Arabidopsis thaliana: one gene and its partners. The protein of the gene in region 3 interacts with the protein of the main gene of each other region in a pairwise test. Each region holds a gene or a part of one and is shown on either strand. Other genes may lie near its edges. The genes, in order: MYB5, MYB4, TT8 and TT2.

The links.
Region 1: the proteins of TT8 (region 3) and MYB5 interact in a two-hybrid assay, tested with the Arabidopsis thaliana proteins (one study listed by BioGRID).
Region 2: the proteins of TT8 (region 3) and MYB4 interact in a two-hybrid assay, tested with the Arabidopsis thaliana proteins (one study listed by BioGRID).
Region 4: the proteins of TT8 (region 3) and TT2 interact in binary tests that used the Arabidopsis thaliana proteins (3 or more experiments, as listed by UniProt).

Annotation. Positions count from the first base shown.
Region 1 is NC_003074.8:4,417,718-4,422,886, forward strand, and holds MYB5 (myb domain protein 5), read left to right. Parts: upstream 1-2,242; 5' UTR 2,243-2,521; coding exon 2,522-2,817; exon of another isoform or gene 2,818-3,272; coding exon 3,273-3,726; 3' UTR 3,727-4,034; downstream 4,035-5,169. Other genes in the region: MAPKKK7 (mitogen-activated protein kinase kinase kinase 7), read right to left, coding at 29-160, 324-425, 548-631, 698-788, 866-939, 1,102-1,122, 1,238-1,372, 1,544-1,603. UniProt on the Arabidopsis thaliana protein: Transcription activator, when associated with BHLH002/EGL3/MYC146, BHLH012/MYC1 or BHLH042/TT8.
Region 2 is NC_003075.7:18,050,902-18,055,727, forward strand, and holds MYB4 (myb domain protein 4), read left to right. Parts: upstream 1-2,458; 5' UTR 2,459-2,964; coding exon 2,965-3,227; intron 3,228-3,389; coding exon 3,390-3,975; 3' UTR 3,976-4,139; downstream 4,140-4,826. UniProt on the Arabidopsis thaliana protein: Transcription repressor involved in regulation of protection against UV. Mediates transcriptional repression of CYP73A5, the gene encoding trans-cinnamate 4-monooxygenase, thereby regulating the accumulation of the UV-protectant compound sinapoylmalate.
Region 3 is NC_003075.7:6,179,761-6,187,595, forward strand, and holds TT8 (basic helix-loop-helix (bHLH) DNA-binding superfamily protein), read left to right. Parts: upstream 1-2,120; 5' UTR 2,121-2,306; coding exon 2,307-2,443; intron 2,444-2,662; coding exon 2,663-2,914; intron 2,915-3,295; coding exon 3,296-3,392; intron 3,393-3,580; coding exon 3,581-3,595; intron 3,596-3,677; coding exon 3,678-3,734; intron 3,735-5,418; coding exon 5,419-5,665; intron 5,666-5,749; coding exon 5,750-6,501; 3' UTR 6,502-6,763; downstream 6,764-7,835. UniProt on the Arabidopsis thaliana protein: Transcription activator, when associated with MYB75/PAP1 or MYB90/PAP2. Involved in the control of flavonoid pigmentation. Plays a key role in regulating leucoanthocyanidin reductase (BANYULS) and dihydroflavonol-4-reductase (DFR).
Region 4 is NC_003076.8:13,724,479-13,728,851, forward strand, and holds TT2 (Duplicated homeodomain-like superfamily protein), read left to right. Parts: upstream 1-2,264; 5' UTR 2,265-2,328; coding exon of another isoform or gene 2,329-2,392; coding exon 2,393-2,670; intron 2,671-2,743; coding exon 2,744-3,251; 3' UTR 3,252-3,483; downstream 3,484-4,373. UniProt on the Arabidopsis thaliana protein: Transcription activator, when associated with BHLH2/EGL3/MYC146, BHLH12/MYC1, or BHLH42/TT8. Involved in the control of flavonoid late metabolism in developing siliques.

The DNA of each region.
Region 1 (5,169 bases), on a different chromosome or scaffold from region 3:
TGCAAACTCATAAAATGTTGTCAAATACCTGAACAATACGAAAGAGGGCTGGCATGGGTTGCAGATCATAGTAAGGAGGTACACATGTCAGAAGTTCGATAACAGTGCATCCAACGCTCCAAATGTCAGAAGCAGCACAAACTCCTGACATTTCAATAACCTGAAACAGAAGTTGGGCTTCTGTCAATACGTACATAATCAGGTAAAAGTTCTCTAAAGGAGCAAACAAAAGCATCTTTCAAACAACAACAAATATTGTTTCAAAACTGCGTACGAAAGCTATACAGAATATGGAGATGGAAAATATATAATCAAAGGTGTACCTCAGGAGCCATCCAGTAAGGAGTTCCAACCACCGAGTGAGTATTAACATCAGCCTCGTTAAGTTTAGTGGCAACTCCAAAGTCAGCAAGCTTCACAAGACCCTGAAGTGTGATGTAGTCAAGTATCTTTCTAAGGAAAAAGCCTAGAAGAATCTTATCCAGCAGATCTCAAAACAAAAACACACTGAAGACATGTCTGAGAATAGATAATATAGAAAACACACCTCCTTTGTCGTCAAAATATTTGCACCCTTAATATCACGGTGTATAACACCCTGCTCATGCAGATATACCAAACCTTCCAAGACCTGTATTCACTAGTTAGTACACAATGCATAACGAAACTTAACTCAACTTGAAAGATGTATACAGACCTGAGCAATGTAAACAGCCACCAAAGATTCTGGGAAAGGTCCAAATTTATTTGGTTTAATAATGTTTGCAAGAGAGCCATTCTCAACGTACCTGCAAACACATAATTGAACTTGAGTTTCCCGTCCATAGTCCAGAGTGGACCAAAATAAACAAAAAAAGCTACTTACTCCAAAATAATGTGAAGGTGAGTCTTTGTCTTCGACGACCCAAGATACTTCACAATGTTTTTATGGTTCAAGTTCTGCAATGAAATATTATCTCAGAATACATAGAGAAGAACTGCATCTTAACCAGCATCATAACCATTCATGAGAAGAAGCCAAAATTCAGAAGGTGATTGATTTGACATAAACTTAGTATCAGGATCCCAACTCTGTAAACAGTACAAAATTCAGAAAACTACCTTCAAAAGATCAATTTCTTGCTGGAGAAATTCATCCCAACAGCACAAGAATCATCCACATGTAAAAACCAGGATTAGTCAGCATAGCAGTGGTAAGGAACAAATAAGGAAGATAGATATAAGGAAAATAACAAACCATAATGGTGTTAAGATCCTCTTGAACAATATTTTCCAAAGAGACTTGTTTAATGGCCACAAAGTCACCATTCTCCAAGTCTAATCCTTTATAAACTCGACCATAAGCTCCTTTACCAATTTCATCTCCCAGCATCTACCCTCAACATATCAAGGATCAACCATTGAAATTAATCAAAATTGAAGAGAAAACAGCAAAAAGCACCAGACTTAAGCTTAAAATCAATAAAATTACTAAAGCTAAAATCTTAAGGAGACCCATTAGAAAACCCAAATCCCAGAAATTACGGAGAAGAAGAAAGCTCACATATTTGTTGTCGAGAGTCTTTGATTTGTGAAACTGAGATGACGTCATTTGCCGCGCCATCTCTTCTCGTTTCTTCTTCCTCCGTCAGCAGAACAAAAAAAATGCAGCGAACAGAACACAATTGCTCCTCAAGGAAACAGAATCCAATAAGAATTAGGGTTTTAATTTTTTGAGAAAATTGAAAGAAAAGATTTCGAGATTGGTGGAGTTGAAAGATCAGAGATGCCAGCTCTATTACAGTAGTGAAAATACATGACCAAATTTTAATAAAATCAAAATTAAGAAAAAGGAAAGAACAAAACAAAAGTTTTGGGTTAGAAATTGACTAACTGTAATAAAGGAGAGGTAATTATGTTAATTTCTCATGCGCCTGTATTCTTCTTTATTATGTGGCCCATACTTTTTATTTATTTACGATTTCACCCCTTTATTTCCCGATTTGTAAAAATACTAGCATTTTGTCCAATTACTGATTAATCATCTATTTAAAAGGTGGTCCAAATATTTAATGCTTTTTCACTGGTGTCAATTTTAATTAAGGTGGTTAGTATTCATTAATGTATTATCAACCATTTTGTTATAACTTTCTCAATTGTAGGAGCTGGTATAATCGGATGTTTATAGCCAATCAAATTATAATTCATAGTAGTATCAAATCTTTAATATAAATAACTAGAAGCAACTAACCTATGCATTGTAATAACATTAGCCATTTGGATTTCAATATGATTGTTACTGCAAAATCTTTAAAATGAAAGGAAAAAAAAACCACGCAGGTGAAATAAAAACCAAATGAAGATTATTACCAAACGCCGAAGCTAGCGCGTGAGAGAAAAGGTCGGTAGGTTCATTGGTAACATCAGCAGACTAATGGAGAGAGAGAAACTTTGAGAAAAGAAAAAAACAACCAATCGAAGAACTCATAGAGATCACGAAACCCTAGTGGAAAGAGAGAAAGCTTTGTTGAAGACGGCGGAGATGATGTCATGTGGTGGGAAGAAGCCAGTGTCTAAGAAAACAACGCCGTGTTGCACGAAGATGGGGATGAAGAGAGGACCATGGACGGTGGAGGAAGACGAGATTCTTGTGAGCTTCATTAAGAAAGAAGGTGAAGGACGGTGGCGATCGCTTCCTAAGAGAGCTGGTTTACTCAGATGTGGAAAGAGCTGTCGTCTACGGTGGATGAACTATCTCCGACCCTCGGTTAAACGTGGAGGAATTACGTCGGACGAGGAAGATCTCATCCTCCGTCTTCACCGCCTCCTCGGCAACAGGTATATATATAGATATTAAAAAAAAATCTCGTCAAGTATTCAACTATACAAGATCGTTTAGTTTATATGCATACGTATGTGTGTGTCTCTCTCTACCCATACACTAGAGTTATTTTTTTGTTTAAGCTAGCTAGGGTTTTATTTCTTCCACATAAACATGAAGGTTCTGATTTTAGCTTGATCCCATTTTTTCTTATAGCTATATAAAACAATTATACTTTGATTCTTGATTCGATATTTATATAGAACAAAAGGTTAATCCCTTCTCTAGTTTCTTTAGAGTATAATTTTAATTAAGTTGATTCTGGTTCTAGAGCAAATTAATAGTTCTAGAGATCATTCATTCTTTTTTCAAATTGTTTATGATTACTAGGATAAAAATGCAAGCTTGTTTTGTAACCATATTAGTAATTAACCGCTCTTGTTCTTCATGGAAATTCTAATGTGTGATGCAGGTGGTCATTGATCGCGGGAAGGATACCGGGAAGGACTGATAATGAAATTAAGAACTATTGGAACACTCATCTTCGTAAGAAACTTTTAAGGCAAGGAATTGATCCTCAAACCCACAAGCCTCTTGATGCAAACAACATCCATAAACCAGAAGAAGAAGTTTCCGGTGGACAAAAGTACCCTCTAGAGCCTATTTCTAGTTCTCATACTGATGATACCACTGTTAATGGCGGGGATGGAGATAGCAAGAACAGTATCAATGTCTTTGGTGGTGAACACGGCTACGAAGACTTTGGTTTCTGCTACGACGACAAGTTCTCATCGTTTCTTAATTCGCTCATCAACGATGTTGGTGATCCTTTTGGTAATATTATCCCAATATCTCAACCTTTGCAGATGGATGATTGTAAGGATGGGATTGTTGGAGCGTCGTCTTCTAGCTTAGGACATGACTAGATACAGGAAGATATATAGTTGATCGAATCTTGATGTCTTCTATATCTACCATGCTTCAAGAAGGGGTCACAGATGCGATCTAGAAGGTTGGCATATATGTGTACTAAGTTGTTTTGTGGTGATTTGTGTGATTATTATAAAACCATAAATTGTGAGTGTAACTGAGTACACAAACCTCTATTTATATATATGGATATATCTATTGCGAATAAATGAATCATCACTATCGTTAAATAAGACTCGTGGTAAGCTTTTGTCAAATACAGATAACTAATAAGCATGTTCACAATCTTAAATTATGGTACTAGATATGTTTCTAAGTTTAATTTCTTCAAGAAGTTTATTTAATGTAAACAATACAGGCTAGCTAAGTGCTAACGTTAAACTTCATATCCTTGAAAACAAAAATACACTAAACTTTATAAGCTATTAAACATATTCCGGACAGTTTACATACTAAAGTACGATAATAACATATATGTTGTTTGAAAAAAAAAACATATATGTTGCCTATAGGTTTATTATGTGTTTGCGTCACCACACGAGTTGAGGTTATAAAACTCTATTTTCATGTAATACTAAATTAAAACTCAAAAATGTTTGTTTTAAGTATTTCAGACACAATTCATGAGTTGTATATATAAGTTGAAACTTATAGGTTCTTTTTATCGATGAGGATATACTATAAGTTCGAAAATCAAAGTTTGTTGCGTAGTTCACATTTACGTATCTTATAGTAAGACCAATGTTGGTCGAAGATATAGTTTTTTACCTATGCATGCAGATTTATTGTTTAACACAGTTTTATGTATATATATGCTTACTTCATCACAGTCTCTCGTCCGTGCGTTCTCCCTCTAGAATTCGTTACTTAAAACCAAAAAGAACACCATGCCGTTTTCACATTGACTCTTCACACGTTCCCACATTTACGCCATATAAACTACCCTTAGTTAAAGCCTAGGAAAATTGAATTATAGACCAACATTAGCGGTTAGAATAATTGACGTTTAATTTACATAAGTTTTTACTTTTTACTTAAAACGAACTTCGCATGCGACTATGCTGCTCCGACCTAACCTTCTCTTTGACCCTTCGGTTCACATCACAGCAGCAAAAATAATTAACTAACCGATAGTCTCTGGCTCAACCAAATTTAGACGAAAATGATTTATTGCCAAAAAATTCGTAAACCTAAGACTCTGATTAACAAAATTTTAGTGTTAGATACATAGTCATCATAAGATTGGATACTATATATAGTCGATATACTGGATATATCTTCCAACATCTCTAGAGGTTTTACTCAAAACTTCAAGAGAAATATATATGATGCCAACGAAGGGGAACATTAAATAAAAAAATAAGATAAACAAATTGAGTATATACATGTGATGCATAAAATGACATATTCATCTGCATATACACTAACACATCTAACAC
Region 2 (4,826 bases), about 12 Mb from region 3:
TAACAAACAAGAAAAGGCTCGGCAAAGAAATGAAAAAATCTCAACTTAAGAAATAAAAATGTAGACGCACAATTAAATACCTTCACATTTATATACATTGGTGGATATGGACCTCTCTATCCCTATTATATTCCACTCTTTACAAATGGTGTGGTGTGACAAGTTATGTGTATAATTAATCATCCACCGTCACCAACCATCCACCTTATTTTCACGTCTCGTAAGGGAAACAGATCATAGTAGCATCTTACTCTTCTGAAATTAAAGACTCTATCAGTTTATCACAACTCAACTATTATGGAAAACTTAACTTATTCTTTGGTCGTCAATAAAATCTAATCTTTACCTTGAGATCAAGGTGATCTTAATTCTTGTATCTGAATACGCAAAGTTGAAATTAAATATCAAACAAATGAATCCATTATTAAAACAATAATAATAAAGTGGAAGGTGAACCAAATCCCACGTCCCAACCGCATACGGACCTAAATAATATATAGTTTTTTTTTGTTTTTGGCAGCAACCTAAATAATATAATTATCCTACTCTTTTTTAATATCAGTATATTTACTTAAAGAAAATGCCAAATTAATCAGTACATTGTGATTTCGCTTCTATATTATATTTGTGACACAAGTTTTGCTTTTATATTATAGCACATCGCTATTTCCTCCACGTCATTTACAATCCCATTAGTAGTACTACTAACAAGTAATAACATATTATTCCTAAAACAAAAAAACAAAAAAAAACAACAGAGAGAATAATTCACCTGGAGAACTATTATTCTCCCATGATGTTAAAAAACGTTTTGCATGTAGTGTTGCTGCATTTGGTTTTTCATAAAACAATATTACGAATTTGTCTCTTACAATTTAGTTGCAAGAAAAAAGAAAGAGCAGTAAATAAGTTAATTGGGTATAAATAGTGAATGTGAAAAACTGACTGATTGGGGTTTAATTTTGATTCAGATGTAAATGGACGTAAACTTTTGTTGATGAATTGAAGAATCTTGGCCTTTAGCTAAGAACCTAACCTTCTAGAAGAGGGCCATCATCATGCATGAGGTGAGTGATTTTGTACCAATAGATTAAACAAATTGAAATTCAACTACTCTCTCTCTCTCTCTCTCTCTTTTTCGGTTTTTTCATCTTTTTCAATAAACCATTATTCTTTTTCGTTTCTTCTCACATTTTCCACCTAACTTACCAAATTTCACAATTAAGTTCAACTTTTTTTGTTTAGCATACATGGACAGTACACAGTAGATACTATAGTTTAATTATTCTCTCCTATATACTGTTATGTGTTCTATTCTTCAACTATTCTCCTGACATACGAATTACTACATACGTATATGATTAGTGTTGTCGATCGTATTCTAAAAATATAGATACGATTAGTGCTATAATAATATTCCGTCCAGTTAGAGTTCAACATTATTAAAAAAATATCTCTTAATAAGTCTTGATTTTTCAAGTCTCTAATATGAAAGAAATAGAAGTTGGTTAGAGAAAACCATTCTAAGTCAAGGTTCTAGAAGGCACATTCTTTAATTCAAATAGTTTATCATATATGTATATTTCTAATTTATATGTATGTGTCATGGTGGTTCTTGTTGTATTGTTTTTATACTGAAATATTAAAGAAACATGAGCATCATCACAAATATTTTAAACATGAAGTGCTTGTCATTTGGTGAGAGTAATTTGAAAACCATATATAAGTTACAAGTTATCCTGCCCACACATATAATTAGTTATTTGATAATGCTTTGTTTAATTAGCAAGTGATTGTATTAGGGTTAAGTTCTAGATATATTATTGATTAAAAAAACAATAACTAATCCAGTGCAGTCTATATATTAGAGAAAAGACTGTTGACCAGTACAACAAAAACCTCATAGGCTATATAGTTGACCTGCACTTGTCCAAAAAACACTCATTAACTTTACCACCTACCTCCACTACTTCATTATATCTTCTCTTCGTTATTGCTACCAAATTATTCAAGTTTCCCCTTCCTTTGTTAGACCCAAATTTTTACTTGTGACCTATAATATCTGGCGATAAAAGCCATTCACAAACTTTTTGTTTTACTGAATTTTAGGTTTTCTACATTAATTTTCACCCGCCTAAGTTTTACTACAAACTTAATTCATACGATAGGTAAGAGACTCCAAAAAAATAAAAATAAATTACTGTTTGTACTAAATCGGTCGAAGTTAAAAGACGATTTGTCAATAAATGTACACAGTCGAATACTCGAATTGTCATGTATTGATTAATTTCTTGACAGAGTTGGTTTATATTTTGTACTAAATAAAACTTGTTGCAAAGTAAAAAAAGAAAGAAAAAAAATTAAAGAAGTAGCTAAATAATTTTGGTTTATGTATATACGAACACGAGAAATTTCTTTGATTACATATATATATATATATATATATTTAAGTGAGAAATATTAAATTTGTTGTCATGATTATTAAAAAAATGTCATAGCTTTATCAAAAGACTATGATGCCATATATGTCAAGCTTCTCACTTATTGTACCAAAACGAAAGGCCACCATACACTACTCATTCAAATCCATCCCACCAACTCACATCTAGAAGCAATTATAAGTTCAACTCTCTTTCTCTCTCCTTTTCTATCATCTAGAAGCATTTGTGTATATATATATATGTGTGTATATTCCTCTCTAGCTTTAAGTCAAAACCCTATATAAACTATACACCAAAGCTTTGAACCTTCAACCAAACCCAAAATCCAAGTGCCCCACCAAATGCTTCAATCCTCTTCCACTACACAAAAAAACAACTTAATCCCTTTATACCCTTTTAGCCAAAACCCTCGCTAAAAGCCAATCCCTCAATATAAAATAACAAGTAGAATTGATCTGCCTATATATAAGATTTTGAGACGAAATAAGATCTAAACCACAAGAAAGAAAGTAAACATAAAAGTATGGGAAGGTCACCGTGCTGTGAGAAAGCTCACACAAACAAAGGAGCATGGACGAAAGAAGAGGACGAGAGGCTCGTCGCCTACATTAAAGCTCATGGAGAAGGCTGCTGGAGATCTCTCCCCAAAGCCGCCGGACTTCTTCGCTGTGGCAAGAGCTGCCGTCTCCGGTGGATCAACTATCTCCGGCCTGACCTTAAGCGTGGAAACTTCACCGAGGAAGAAGACGAACTCATCATCAAGCTCCATAGCCTTCTTGGCAACAAGTGAGTACTATACTCTCTAAATATGGGCTTATTTAACTAGCTAGTATCGTTTATACCCAAAAAAAAACAAAAAAAACTAGTATCGTTTTAATTTATACAAAATGAAAATCTTGGAGTTTTCAATCTATCTAAATGATGTTATTTTTTGTTGATGATATATAGATGGTCGCTTATTGCCGGGAGATTACCGGGAAGAACAGATAACGAGATAAAGAACTATTGGAACACGCATATACGAAGAAAGCTTATAAACAGAGGGATTGATCCAACGAGTCATAGACCAATCCAAGAATCATCAGCTTCTCAAGATTCTAAACCTACACAACTAGAACCAGTTACGAGTAATACCATTAATATCTCATTCACTTCTGCTCCAAAGGTCGAAACGTTCCATGAAAGTATAAGCTTTCCGGGAAAATCAGAGAAAATCTCAATGCTTACGTTCAAAGAAGAAAAAGATGAGTGCCCAGTTCAAGAAAAGTTCCCAGATTTGAATCTTGAGCTCAGAATCAGTCTTCCTGATGATGTTGATCGTCTTCAAGGGCATGGAAAGTCAACAACGCCACGTTGTTTCAAGTGCAGCTTAGGGATGATAAACGGCATGGAGTGCAGATGCGGAAGAATGAGATGCGATGTAGTCGGAGGTAGCAGCAAGGGGAGTGACATGAGCAATGGATTTGATTTTTTAGGGTTGGCAAAGAAAGAGACCACTTCTCTTTTGGGCTTTCGAAGCTTGGAGATGAAATAATATTGTCAAATTTTAGGCGTAACTGTACAAAACTTTTGCCTAGATAATTTGAAAGTATATCTTCAACTTGTATGAGAAATTTAACTGGTGAATTATAATATATAGAATTTGTTTTTTTTTCTCTTTTACAAATTAACTCCATTGGCATAAATATTAAATACCGGATCTAGACGATCGGTGATAAAAATATAGATCATTAGATCGTATAGCTCTATTGTAATTAATTTGTATACGATTAAGATTATCAGTTTATGAGGTAAGATTAGGTTGGTTGCCCAAATAACTCGTTATCCAATGTTGGAGATAAGCCAAATAAGGAGAAAAAAGATTACGAGTATGGCAAAGATACTTGATCACATAATACTTAGATTGTACTGGTATAGATGATACCTTGTTAAGATCTATAATTAAAGATCTAGGAGAAGAACGTGAAACAGAAGATAAATCGAAAATGTTTCATGACAAGTGGAAAGTGAGGTTTGTAGTTAATTTGGCAGGAATAGAAAAGTTGTAAGAGAAGGAGGTAGGAGAAAACTTAAATGTTTTTAAGATAAAAAAAGGAAAGAAAGAGATATGTGAAAAAGAAAAAGAAAATAATGAAAACCATAAATGAAGGAAAGGAAGCAACAACCAATGGACCCTTTCTTCTACCAAACTCTATTTATTTCTCACTACCCATCTCCCTACCAACCTATATACCAACCTTTCCTCATCTTTTGTCCACTTGCAAGCGATCTACATCTGCATACATACATACATACATACATACATACATACATATTACACATGAATGCATAACATACATATACTGTATATCCATATACCACATAATATATTTATGCATGCATGCA
Region 3 (7,835 bases):
TATATATATATATATATTTGGTGAGATAAGTCTTAACTTGCTACATTCAAAGAAACTAATTAAACCAAAAACCAAACACTAAAAGAATAGTAAATCGTCAATTTCATATTAGATGAGCTAATAAAGCATCACAGCAATAAATTTTGTCTATCTCCATCACTTACACCCTTTTTTTGTAGATAATGTAATTTCTTCCTCAAGATCTGAAGAATCATAAATCACATAGTTTAGTCAATGTTACAATACACACGACTAAAAGAAAAATTACAAAATTTTATTGATAGAATTTAAAATATACCACTAGACACTAGACTTTTGTCTTTTCATTAGTCATTACCGCTTGATATTTTTACTATCTTACGCATGTTATGAAAGATTATAAAGCTTAGGTTTTGGGTAGCAAAAAAGGGTTAGGAAAAAGAAAACCATACTATTTGTTATCCGAAAATGTCAAACTAATTCCTCTAACTGTGGTAAAAGGTTATAAAATCAAATCCTCTAGATTGATGTAAGTGATTTTTAAATCGTTATTCGGTCAGATCACAAGTTAATGATGAACTTTTCAGGGTTCAATACATGGCGATTTTAGCCATGGATCCCCAACGGGATCATGGGATTACGGTCCAACTGACCGGTTTGGACCGGGTCTTAATATATTGAACAAAATACAAGAAATCTCTCATTCACACGAATGATTACATTTCAGAAAAAGAAAGAAAAAATAACTCAAAAAACTTCACACCAATTTGCATCACACTATATTACCCATTATTTTTCTACAATTATGTGGTCCACTTTTCAAATAGTTCACTCTCATCATAAACCGGCCGGGGTCCTTCAAAGCTCATGCAGTTGTGCGTTGTAAAGATATATTGTATTCCAACAACTAATTCTTGCCAAAACACTTTTGGCTAATGTCATTTTCATTGAAAACAAAGCATTATAAATAGGAATGATTTGTCATTTCTGGAATGGAAGAACTTGGGTTTTAGTTAACATTTGTGCCTAACCAACCTCTCGTTTATGTACTAAAGCATTGTCCTTGTGATTGTGAATAACCAATCGCTCATTTCTGTGTTAGAACAGTATTGTTTATTTTCTGTTATTTGAATCATTTCCAATGAGAAATGAGTTACATAACACCTTTATTTATAAACACAAAGATGCACACAAGGAGAAGCAAAATCAATAAGAAGAAACCACTCCACGTGGCCCGTCGTCAGAGTTACATAATTGGTGAACGACTAAACTCAGAAGAAACAACATGTAATAAGAAACACAGAAGCAGAAGCAAAAGCCAAGCAACATTTATTTTGTCGACAAAAAAGCCAAGAAACATTCAATGTTGATTTTGTCTAAGTAACCAGGTGTACATACATTACCCTTAACCATACCCAAAATCGTATGTACTACGATATGTGTACGTAACAGTATCTATCTACATTTATATTTTATAAGACATTATTAAATGGGAAACTTATAGTGGCTAGTGGCTGCTACTTGGCTAGCAATTAACATCAATAATTTAATAACTCAAATGTGAAACATCTCATTCTTCTCCTTTATTACACCAAACCATTTCTCATTCTTTACTTACCGGTCAGGTCAACAATTCTACCATTCCCCATCTTTGGTTAAGTTTATCTTTTCATTTTAAAGAAAATATATATGAATGTTCATCCAATAATTCCAACTTCTTAAAATTGTTAATGAACATTTTAATCAATATATAATTTTAATATCAATTTTATAAATAATAGAAATGTGAAAAACGCAATTTCTTTGCTCCTTGTAGCAGTAACACAAGTCAAAGCAACATTTGTTTTCATTTGTTTGTCAGTTAGCTATTTTATCTACAATAATATGTTATGCTTTCTGAACAATAAATAAATATAGCATTATTAGATATATTCATTCTGTATTTTGATTTGTCCAATTAGTATATGACACGTCTACAAGATACATAGATCTTTCATTATTTCACTTTCTCATCCAACGTCTGGTGAACCAACCATTCAAAAATCAAAAGTCAACTTTTAATGCACTTGAGTTTTGGTCATGCATTCATATACATACATATATACATAGAAGTCATTACATGCATTATACTTTACTTATGTCAACATGTTGCAAAAGCACTAAGATGATATACGTATACATGCATATTGCAAAAATCAGTGGTCCCATACCATTTTAAGTCATCATGAGCGTATGAGAGTAAATTCTTCTCACATATTAATAACAACCCTTCAAAGTTATAAGATTTTTAGAGAGAGAGCTACCACGTTTTCGTATCTCCGGGAACGATGGATGAATCAAGTATTATTCCGGCAGAGAAAGTGGCCGGAGCTGAGAAAAAAGAGCTTCAAGGGCTGCTTAAGACGGCGGTTCAATCTGTGGACTGGACTTATAGTGTCTTCTGGCAATTTTGTCCTCAACAACGGTTAGTTTCTTATCTCTATAGTTCATTCATCTCTCACAATACAACCATAATATCTATATCCGTATATATTATGTAAACTATATGTTTAAATGAATTCGGCTAATTGTTGGCTTGTCGTAGTGTTACAATTCGATCTTGAAATAATTTTTTTTTTTTTTGAAGGTTTTACAAAATTTATTAAGATTTTTGAACTACTTATATGAAAGTATCATTGTTTAGGGTCTTGGTGTGGGGGAATGGATACTACAACGGTGCAATAAAGACGAGGAAGACAACTCAACCAGCGGAGGTGACGGCAGAAGAGGCGGCGTTAGAGAGGAGCCAACAGCTCAGGGAGCTTTATGAGACACTTTTAGCCGGAGAGTCAACGTCAGAAGCAAGAGCATGCACCGCATTGTCACCGGAGGATTTGACGGAGACAGAATGGTTTTATCTAATGTGCGTCTCTTTCTCTTTTCCTCCTCCATCTGGGTAAACAACTCTCTCCCTATACTCAAGTTTCTAAATTTGTTCTTTCTTTTTTTTCCTTCTCTAAGTGAAGACAAAAATAGTATTGTGTGTTAAATGCGAATATCGAAAATATTGTGTTGACATTAAAGAGAAACTGAGGAAGTTGAGTTACTAGAATAAGAAAGAAATGAGAGTTAATGAAACGTACACACACTACATTTTCATGAACATTATTGCGACCGTTGAGATTCTCATTGTTTGGTGATTGATTATCTAAAGTAGAAGCATGAATAGATATAACATAAATGCATAACAAAATGGGTTAGTTATGGGTATACTTCATGCTTTTCTCTATGTGGTAAAAAAAAATCAAATATAAATTTGGGAGGTAGTAATTTGTAGGATGCCAGGAAAAGCGTATGCAAGGAGGAAGCACGTATGGCTAAGTGGTGCAAATGAAGTTGACAGTAAAACTTTTTCTAGAGCTATTCTCGCTAAGGTAAATTCTTTTATTCATTCACCAACTATACTATGCATCTATTTTTACCTATTTATGTATACACTATACTATGTATCTATCTACTTGTAAACCTATTTATCTATACTTTTATACATTTTCACTGATTAACTTGAATAATTCTTCTTGTCGTTTTATGGGCCTTTTACGTCGGTTCCTCAATGACTTAGAGTGCTAAAATTCAGGTAAAATTTGTCTTTATTAGTTTGCTCTTTTTAGTAAGATTTGAGAATTGTATTCTGATGAAAATGTATTTTAAAAAAGCAGACAGTGGTTTGCATTCCAATGCTTGATGGTGTTGTGGAACTAGGCACAACGAAAAAGGTAACGTTGTATATACTCTCTCTTTTATTTACTTGTTAATGAAATATATAAACAAAATAACAAAGTGAATATAGCCTATCTTTCTTTAGGTTTAGTAATGTTAAATTAAGGAGATGCACTACAAAAAAAAGGTTGTTTTACATCATTTATTATAAATATTTGCATTAGTTAAAAGTGATGTAAAAGAATTTTGTATCACTTAAATAAGTGACTTAAATATTGTTGATGCAAATAATTTGCATCAGTTAATTAGTAACTGATGTAAATAATCAAAATAATTACATCGATTATTATAATTGATATCAATATTGTATCAGTTACTAAAAATGATGTAATGTTTACATCAATTTATTTAAGTGATGTTAGTATTTGTTTCGGTTTAAATAACTGATTTAATTAATATATATATAATTATTAATACAATGTTATTAATATTTCAAATAATTATTTTATTTATTTCTTTTTTTTTTTTAAATAACAGATCATTGTGGATAATTACTCGTTGGAATATCTACTAAAATTTTATCAAGATTTAATAAAATATTTTACATGAACAATAAATCTTTATATAAGATAAGCAAAAAAATAATCATAATTTGGTTTTGGTTTCTTCGTGTTTAAACACATCTTTCTTCTGTTCCATGCTTCTTCCTTCCATTAACTGTTGGTTCTTCTTGAAAAATACCATTTCTTCTTCTATGCCATCTCTCTTCCATTTACAGAATCAAAATCATACTTTGGTTATAACTTATATCTCTTGAATCCTCATCACACTTGAGTTTCTGCTGTACAAAATAAAAAAGAGAGTAATTGTTTGAAAATTTACAGAATTGTTTTGGTCGGAATAAGAATAACCATTTGTAAGTATTTTTAAAAGAAAGTGATAGAGTACCTTTACTTTGTGTTTCTCCAAACTGTGTAGGAAAACAAACAGTCCTAATGATCAATGGCAGATTTCTGAAAATAAAAGAAAAGAAAAAAACTGAGCAATGGTTAAGAAAAAGAGAAAGATAGAATGATAGAAAAATAAGAAAGTACTTGTCGTTGAAGATGAAGAATTGAATGAGAGTTATGAGATTTCAAAAACTAATTTGAAGATATTCTAAAAACGTTTTTGGATACAAAACTGTAAAAAAAGATCGTGAGCGTAAAAGCAGGATTTATAGTGAAGGAAACAAATATATTTAGTTAGCTGATTTTGAGGGAAAATATAGGAATTAATAATAAATTATTAACCCAATATGATTATTTATTTATGGTAATAACAATTTCTCGTCATCTACAATAAATTCAAGTTAGTTTTTTGTTTAAATTAAAATACAGAAAAACTTATTAGCATCACTTCTTATTGATGTATAATTTTATATCATTTTTATAAACTGATGTTAATAAAATTAAGTGAATACATCGGTTATTTAATTGGTGTAAATACAGATTTTTGTATCAATTTGTTAAAATGATGCAAACTAATACAAATTTCTATCAATTTGATTAAAGTGACGCTAAACATGTTAATTTATACATCACTTATTATAATTGATGTTTAATTATTTATTTTGTGTCATTTGCTTATAAGTAATTTAAACTTGTACCATTTATACTTGTGATACTATTTAATTGATGTAATCTATCCTTTTTTTTGTAGTGATGGATCAATATTTATTTGTTGTATTTGTGTGTGTAGGTAAGAGAAGATGTAGAGTTTGTTGAGCTCACAAAGAGTTTCTTCTATGACCACTGCAAGACGAACCCAAAGCCGGCTCTTTCTGAACACTCCACCTACGAAGTGCATGAAGAAGCCGAAGACGAAGAAGAAGTAGAAGAAGAGATGACAATGTCAGAGGAAATGAGGCTTGGCTCTCCTGATGATGAAGATGTTTCCAATCAAAATCTACACTCTGATCTTCATATTGAATCAACCCATACGTTAGGTATATATATCTACCCTAAGCTACTTATATTTTGCGGATTTATTTCGCTATATCTAAGAAATTATCATTTGTATATATATGTAGACACACATATGGACATGATGAATCTAATGGAGGAAGGTGGAAACTATTCTCAGACAGTAACAACACTTCTCATGTCACACCCCACAAGTCTTCTTTCAGATTCAGTTTCCACATCTTCTTACATCCAATCATCGTTTGCCACGTGGAGGGTTGAGAATGGCAAAGAGCATCAGCAAGTGAAAACGGCGCCGTCGTCACAATGGGTGCTCAAACAAATGATCTTCAGAGTTCCTTTCCTCCATGACAACACTAAAGATAAGAGGCTACCGCGGGAAGATCTGAGCCACGTAGTAGCAGAGCGACGCAGGAGGGAGAAGCTGAACGAGAAATTCATAACGTTGAGATCAATGGTTCCATTTGTGACCAAGATGGATAAAGTCTCAATCCTTGGAGACACCATTGCGTACGTAAATCATCTTCGAAAGAGGGTCCATGAGCTTGAGAATACTCATCATGAGCAACAGCATAAGCGGACGCGTACTTGTAAGAGAAAAACATCGGAGGAGGTGGAGGTTTCCATCATAGAGAATGATGTTTTGTTAGAGATGAGATGTGAGTACCGAGATGGTTTGTTGCTTGACATTCTTCAGGTTCTTCATGAGCTTGGTATAGAGACTACGGCAGTTCATACCTCGGTGAACGACCATGATTTCGAGGCGGAGATAAGGGCGAAAGTAAGAGGGAAGAAAGCAAGCATCGCTGAGGTCAAAAGAGCCATCCACCAAGTCATAATACATGATACTAATCTATAGACCCTAACTTTATTGATGCCAACTCTAGAGAAGGATAATTAAGCGTATTTTTGTTTTAGCCTCACATGTATTAAGACATCAGTTACATATATAGCCGGATGCAACATATAAATGAAAATGTACTAGATGATATTGTTCATTTGTCCAATGTAGTACTTGTGTATGATGCAATTGCAACATATAAATGCAAATGTACTAGATGACGATGTTGTTCGTTGTCCAATTTAGTACTTTTGTATGAATGCGATATTTGGATGCAGATTCAGTTGCATCTAAAACATCATATTTTTTTTGATGCATAAAGATGTAGAATTTCTATGTAGTTTTTTCTTACGTTCAAATTTGAGAAAATATTATTAAAAAATCTTTACAAAATTCATTAAAATAATTTATGCCAAAATTTGTATGTCATAATTTATGTAATTTTATCATTAACCTCAGATTAGAGAAATCAAAGAGTTTATATAAAACATTACATTCTACTTTGGTGCTCAATTTTAAGAATCAAGTTGTAGCACATCAAATTACGAAATCAAATTTTCCAGCAAAATTACGAAATTGCGTTTTAGTGTAAGAATCAACAATTTCTAGAGTAGACTAATAGTTATACTCATAATTAGTGTATGGAAGAACATTTATAAGTCAAGAATATTAAGCTATCAACCAACGAGATAAATGTATTGACAATGTTCATAGTTGCAGCATGAGCTATATATATTTTTCTCTTAGTTGATCATCATACATTATCAAAGCTGCAAGATGTGTAACTGCATTGGCTCCACTTCCTTTGTTGTCTTCTTTCTTGAATAGTGGTGTTCAATAGTGTAAGATATCTTTCTATAGTTTCAGCACTTAGCAGGCTGCTTAAAATTGGCCTGGCCCATTCGATTCTTTGATTTCGGTATGAACTGTTAGAATTCTGATTGAATTCAGATACCAAACCTTGCCAAAAAGAAAAAAAAAACGGTTTAAATGAATATTAACTTACTTTGACCAAAAATTGATGGCAGGGTAAAAAGACTCAAGATAATCCAAGGTCAAACCTATTTTAATTTCAGAACTTTATAATAATCGTTTTAAACTGAAATTGGTTTAATGTAAAAATTTAACCAACCTGAACCGAGAACTACAATCAAAGTAAACAGGAGATTATATTAAATCGAACCACTCTTACAACTCATAGGGGTGGGCGTACGGTTTTATGATTTGGTTTTGGTTTGGTTTTTTCGGTTTTATAAAAACTATAATCATAGAAAAACAGAAAAACAGTATGTAATTCAGTTTGGTTCCGGTTCGGTTTTATAAATATTAAAACCATATGTATCTCAGTTCGG
Region 4 (4,373 bases), on a different chromosome or scaffold from region 3:
TTATTTGAATTTCCTACCTCAACTTAAGAAAAAGTGCAAAATTCATAGTCAAACTAACGGGTGTTAGTCAACTCCGTGAAAAATGTTGAGTCAACAGACACGTGAATTATGATGTGTCTAAAACGACGTTGTTTTGCGTTATGAACGTTTTAAATGTTAAAAAATTTGCAACATGCAGGATTCGAACCCACGTCTTTAAAGACATTTAACAGAATATCTAACCATTTCATCCAGATTATATATTTGTTAATATCTAACATTATCGATATTCTATCGCAACATGGAATCATTAATATCTAACAATTTCGAACATTTTCAATGTTCATAACGCAAAACAATGTCAAAGTAAATTCAAACTACACGAAGTAAATGTATTGTATGACCACATATACAAAGTATAGGACGTCATGTGGTTAACACCATAGACATACAATTCCGATAAACCGGTCAGTTGACTCCGGCGTTGACTAGGGTTGACCGGCGTTGACCAACAAAAAAATTCAAAAAAATCTTTTAAATTATTTTAAATATTCAAAAATACAAAATATTTTTTTTTTGGTTTTGTATATTCAAAAACATATTCTATATTTCAATGCATTAAATCTTAGAAAAATTAGTTTTACAAAAAAAATCAAAATTTAACTAAAAATAGATTAAAAATCATTATTAAATTTTAAATTTTAAATGAAAACAGGAAAATATTATTATAGTTAATTAAGTAAGGAAATTGCTTATTTTTATAGTGTCAATTAAAACACTTCAATTATTTCTATACAATATTTTTTATAAAAAAAAATCAACCACAAAAATTATTAGAATAAAACGTAATACAAATGAATTTTATTTTAAAAACTTTTTTGCTGAAATCAACATTGTTAGATTTTCTATCTTTTTATATATTAAAAAGAAAAATTGCAAGTTTTTGGTTGTTTATGTGTTACTACGAGAACTTTTCTTAATAATATTTGTTACAAAAGGAACTACATAGTATACAAAAATAAATTTAGACTAAAGAGTATATAAAAAATATTATAATTTTCTTTACCATGCAAACTTTAGATTAAAGAGTCATATACTCAATTTCATATTGCTTCCTAATACAATTGAGTATATGACTCTTTAATCTAAAGTTTAATAATGATTTTTATTCTAGTTTTAGTTTAGTTTTGAAATTAAAAATAAAACTAATTATTATAAGATTTAATGCATTGAAAATACAAATATATTTTTACGAAATATAGAATATGTTTTTGAATATATAAAAGAAAAAAAATATTTTCGTATTTTTGAGTATTAAAAATAATTTTAAATTTTTTTGTTGGTCAACGCCGGTCAACACTAGTCAAAGCCTGAGTCAACTGACCGGTTTACCGGAATTGTATGTCAATGGTGTTAACCACATGACGTCCTATACTTCATATATGTGGTCATGTAATACATCTACTTCGTGTCTACTTCGTGTAGCTGGATATACAATGTATAGTAGGTATGTGTGACCATGTATTCTCTTATACTTTGTTTACCTAGCAATCTTTTTTTTAAATTAAAATAAATATGCGGTTTAGATATGAAACTACCCAACAAATTTAACATTTTAAACGTTCATAACGTAAAACGACGTCGTTATAGACACATATTTTCCATGTGTCTGCTGACTTATCATCTTCACGGAGTTGACTAACACCCGTTACTTTGACTCTGAATTTTGTACTTTTTCTTAAGTTGAGGTATGAAATTCAAATAAATATGCGGTTAATATATGAAAATACCCAACAAATTTTTTTGGATACGAAAATACACTCAGAAAATAGTACGGGTATGAAAATACCCTTTTCCCGTATTTGATACATGTCTAATTCGGTTCAAATAAACCGAATATGAAAATTTTCAGTTTTATTTCGGAAGTTAAATAAATCTAGATAACCGACCTGAAAAACCCGAGTCCCGACCGAACCGAACCGAAATTAAATTCGGTTTAATTCGGAAGCATTTCCAAAAACCGAAATTCCCTAAAACCGAATAACCCGACCCGATTAAACCGATTTGCCGAACTCCCAGGCCTAAATTCACACTTGGCTTAGAAAAACTCTTTGTAGATGTTAAAATTCGGTAAAATTAACCTCACCAAAGCTAATTATTACCAGGTGAAGAAAGCATTAAAATTTCAAAGTGTGTATGACAGAGGTTTTAGAAAGCGACTGATGTACGGACATATCAACAACTCCCCTATAAAGATACTCAGCTAAACACAAAAACAGAATCTATTCTCAACACAACACTAAAGACAATTGTACCAACCACACAACCACAAGAGAGAGAAAAGTGAGAATGGGAAAGAGAGCAACTACTAGTGTGAGGAGAGAAGAGTTAAACAGAGGAGCTTGGACTGATCATGAAGACAAGATCCTTAGAGATTACATCACCACTCACGGCGAAGGCAAATGGAGCACTCTCCCTAACCAAGCTGGTACTAATCTCTCTATCTACCGATCCGTCTTTATATCTTCTACGTACAATAATTGTCTTGGCACACATAAAAGGTCTCAAGAGGTGTGGCAAAAGCTGTAGACTTCGGTGGAAGAACTACCTAAGACCGGGGATAAAGCGCGGTAACATCTCATCTGATGAAGAAGAACTCATAATCCGTCTCCATAATCTTCTTGGAAACAGGTTTTTCACTAACCACATAGAATTTTCTTTTTGTAGTAAAGTTATTTGTTATGTGACATTATAATTAAAGCAGATGGTCGTTGATAGCTGGGAGGCTTCCAGGCCGAACAGACAATGAAATAAAGAATCATTGGAACTCAAACCTCCGCAAAAGACTTCCCAAAACTCAAACCAAGCAACCAAAACGTATAAAACATTCGACGAACAACGAGAATAATGTATGTGTTATACGTACAAAGGCGATTAGGTGCTCAAAGACTCTTCTCTTCTCGGATCTCTCTCTTCAGAAGAAGAGTAGTACTAGTCCACTACCTCTGAAAGAACAAGAGATGGATCAAGGTGGATCTTCGTTGATGGGAGATCTCGAATTCGATTTCGATAGGATCCATTCGGAGTTTCACTTCCCGGATTTGATGGATTTTGATGGTTTGGACTGTGGAAACGTTACATCTCTTGTTTCATCTAACGAGATTTTGGGAGAGTTGGTTCCTGCTCAAGGTAATCTCGATCTCAATAGACCTTTCACTTCTTGTCATCATCGTGGCGACGATGAAGATTGGCTCCGAGACTTCACTTGTTGAGCCTATATTGCAAAAACCTACGTTAATACATATTTCTCTATACGGACAAAAGTATATCTGTATTTGTCTGAACGCTTCTAATTACTAACTTACTAAGGAGACCAAGAAATACAAATAATTATACGATCCACATGTTATAGAAATGGGTTTTGTCTTTAACTAATAATTTTTTATTATTGCAAATACGTACGACATAAATATTTTTGATAGATTTTGTAAATTTATGTATGAGCAAATGATAGAGCTTTTATTATAACCTAACCACCGCTTAACCACCCAACCTATAAATTCTACTTGTGAATTATTGGTAATACGAATCAACTTTACAATTTTGTTATTACGAAATATTACTAGAATATACATGTATAGTCTATTTATAGGCAGGCATAGTCATTAATGTAAGGAATTTGTTCTTCTCATTTTTGGAATCATCGTATAAATAAATACTAGATGCATGGTTGTTCTAAGTCATGTGCCAGTACATATTTGAAAAACAAAACAAAGGAATATTCCGGATTTTCCCCCTATCTCCTGTATTTTATGGGTACAATTTAGAAGTTTATGTATTTTAAGGATACTAAAAAATCATGTATTTTATTGGACATCAAAAAGTGTTTGTATTTTAAAGGAAACTAGATTCTGACCCGCACATACGTGCGGGGTTTCATATTTTAAGAAATGTATTAGAATACATTTTTAGTGAAAGATATTGTAGTGTATAAATTATAATGTGCATAGAAAAGTGTATAGTGTTATTTATGATATAATAACTAAATTTTTTTTATTAATTTATATTATTTATATTTCATTTGTGTTTTGCATAGTAAATCGAATGTTAGATTTGTTTTGATTTGCGGAATAATATAGAGATATTTGGAAAATCTGTGTATTTTTGTTAGTTTGATGTATATACAAATGAATTGTTTTTGTTTGAAATTTGATCAATTAGATGATATAATGTAAACTTTACTCCGCTGTACACCGTTGTTCGATTTTTTTGTAACTAAAAATTTGAATTTTAGGTTATAGTTGTTTTGTAAATATTGTTTCTTTTGTTTAGTGTTTAAGATTGTATAATTGTGTTAAAATTGTTAATTCTAAGATTACACTCGTAGATTATCG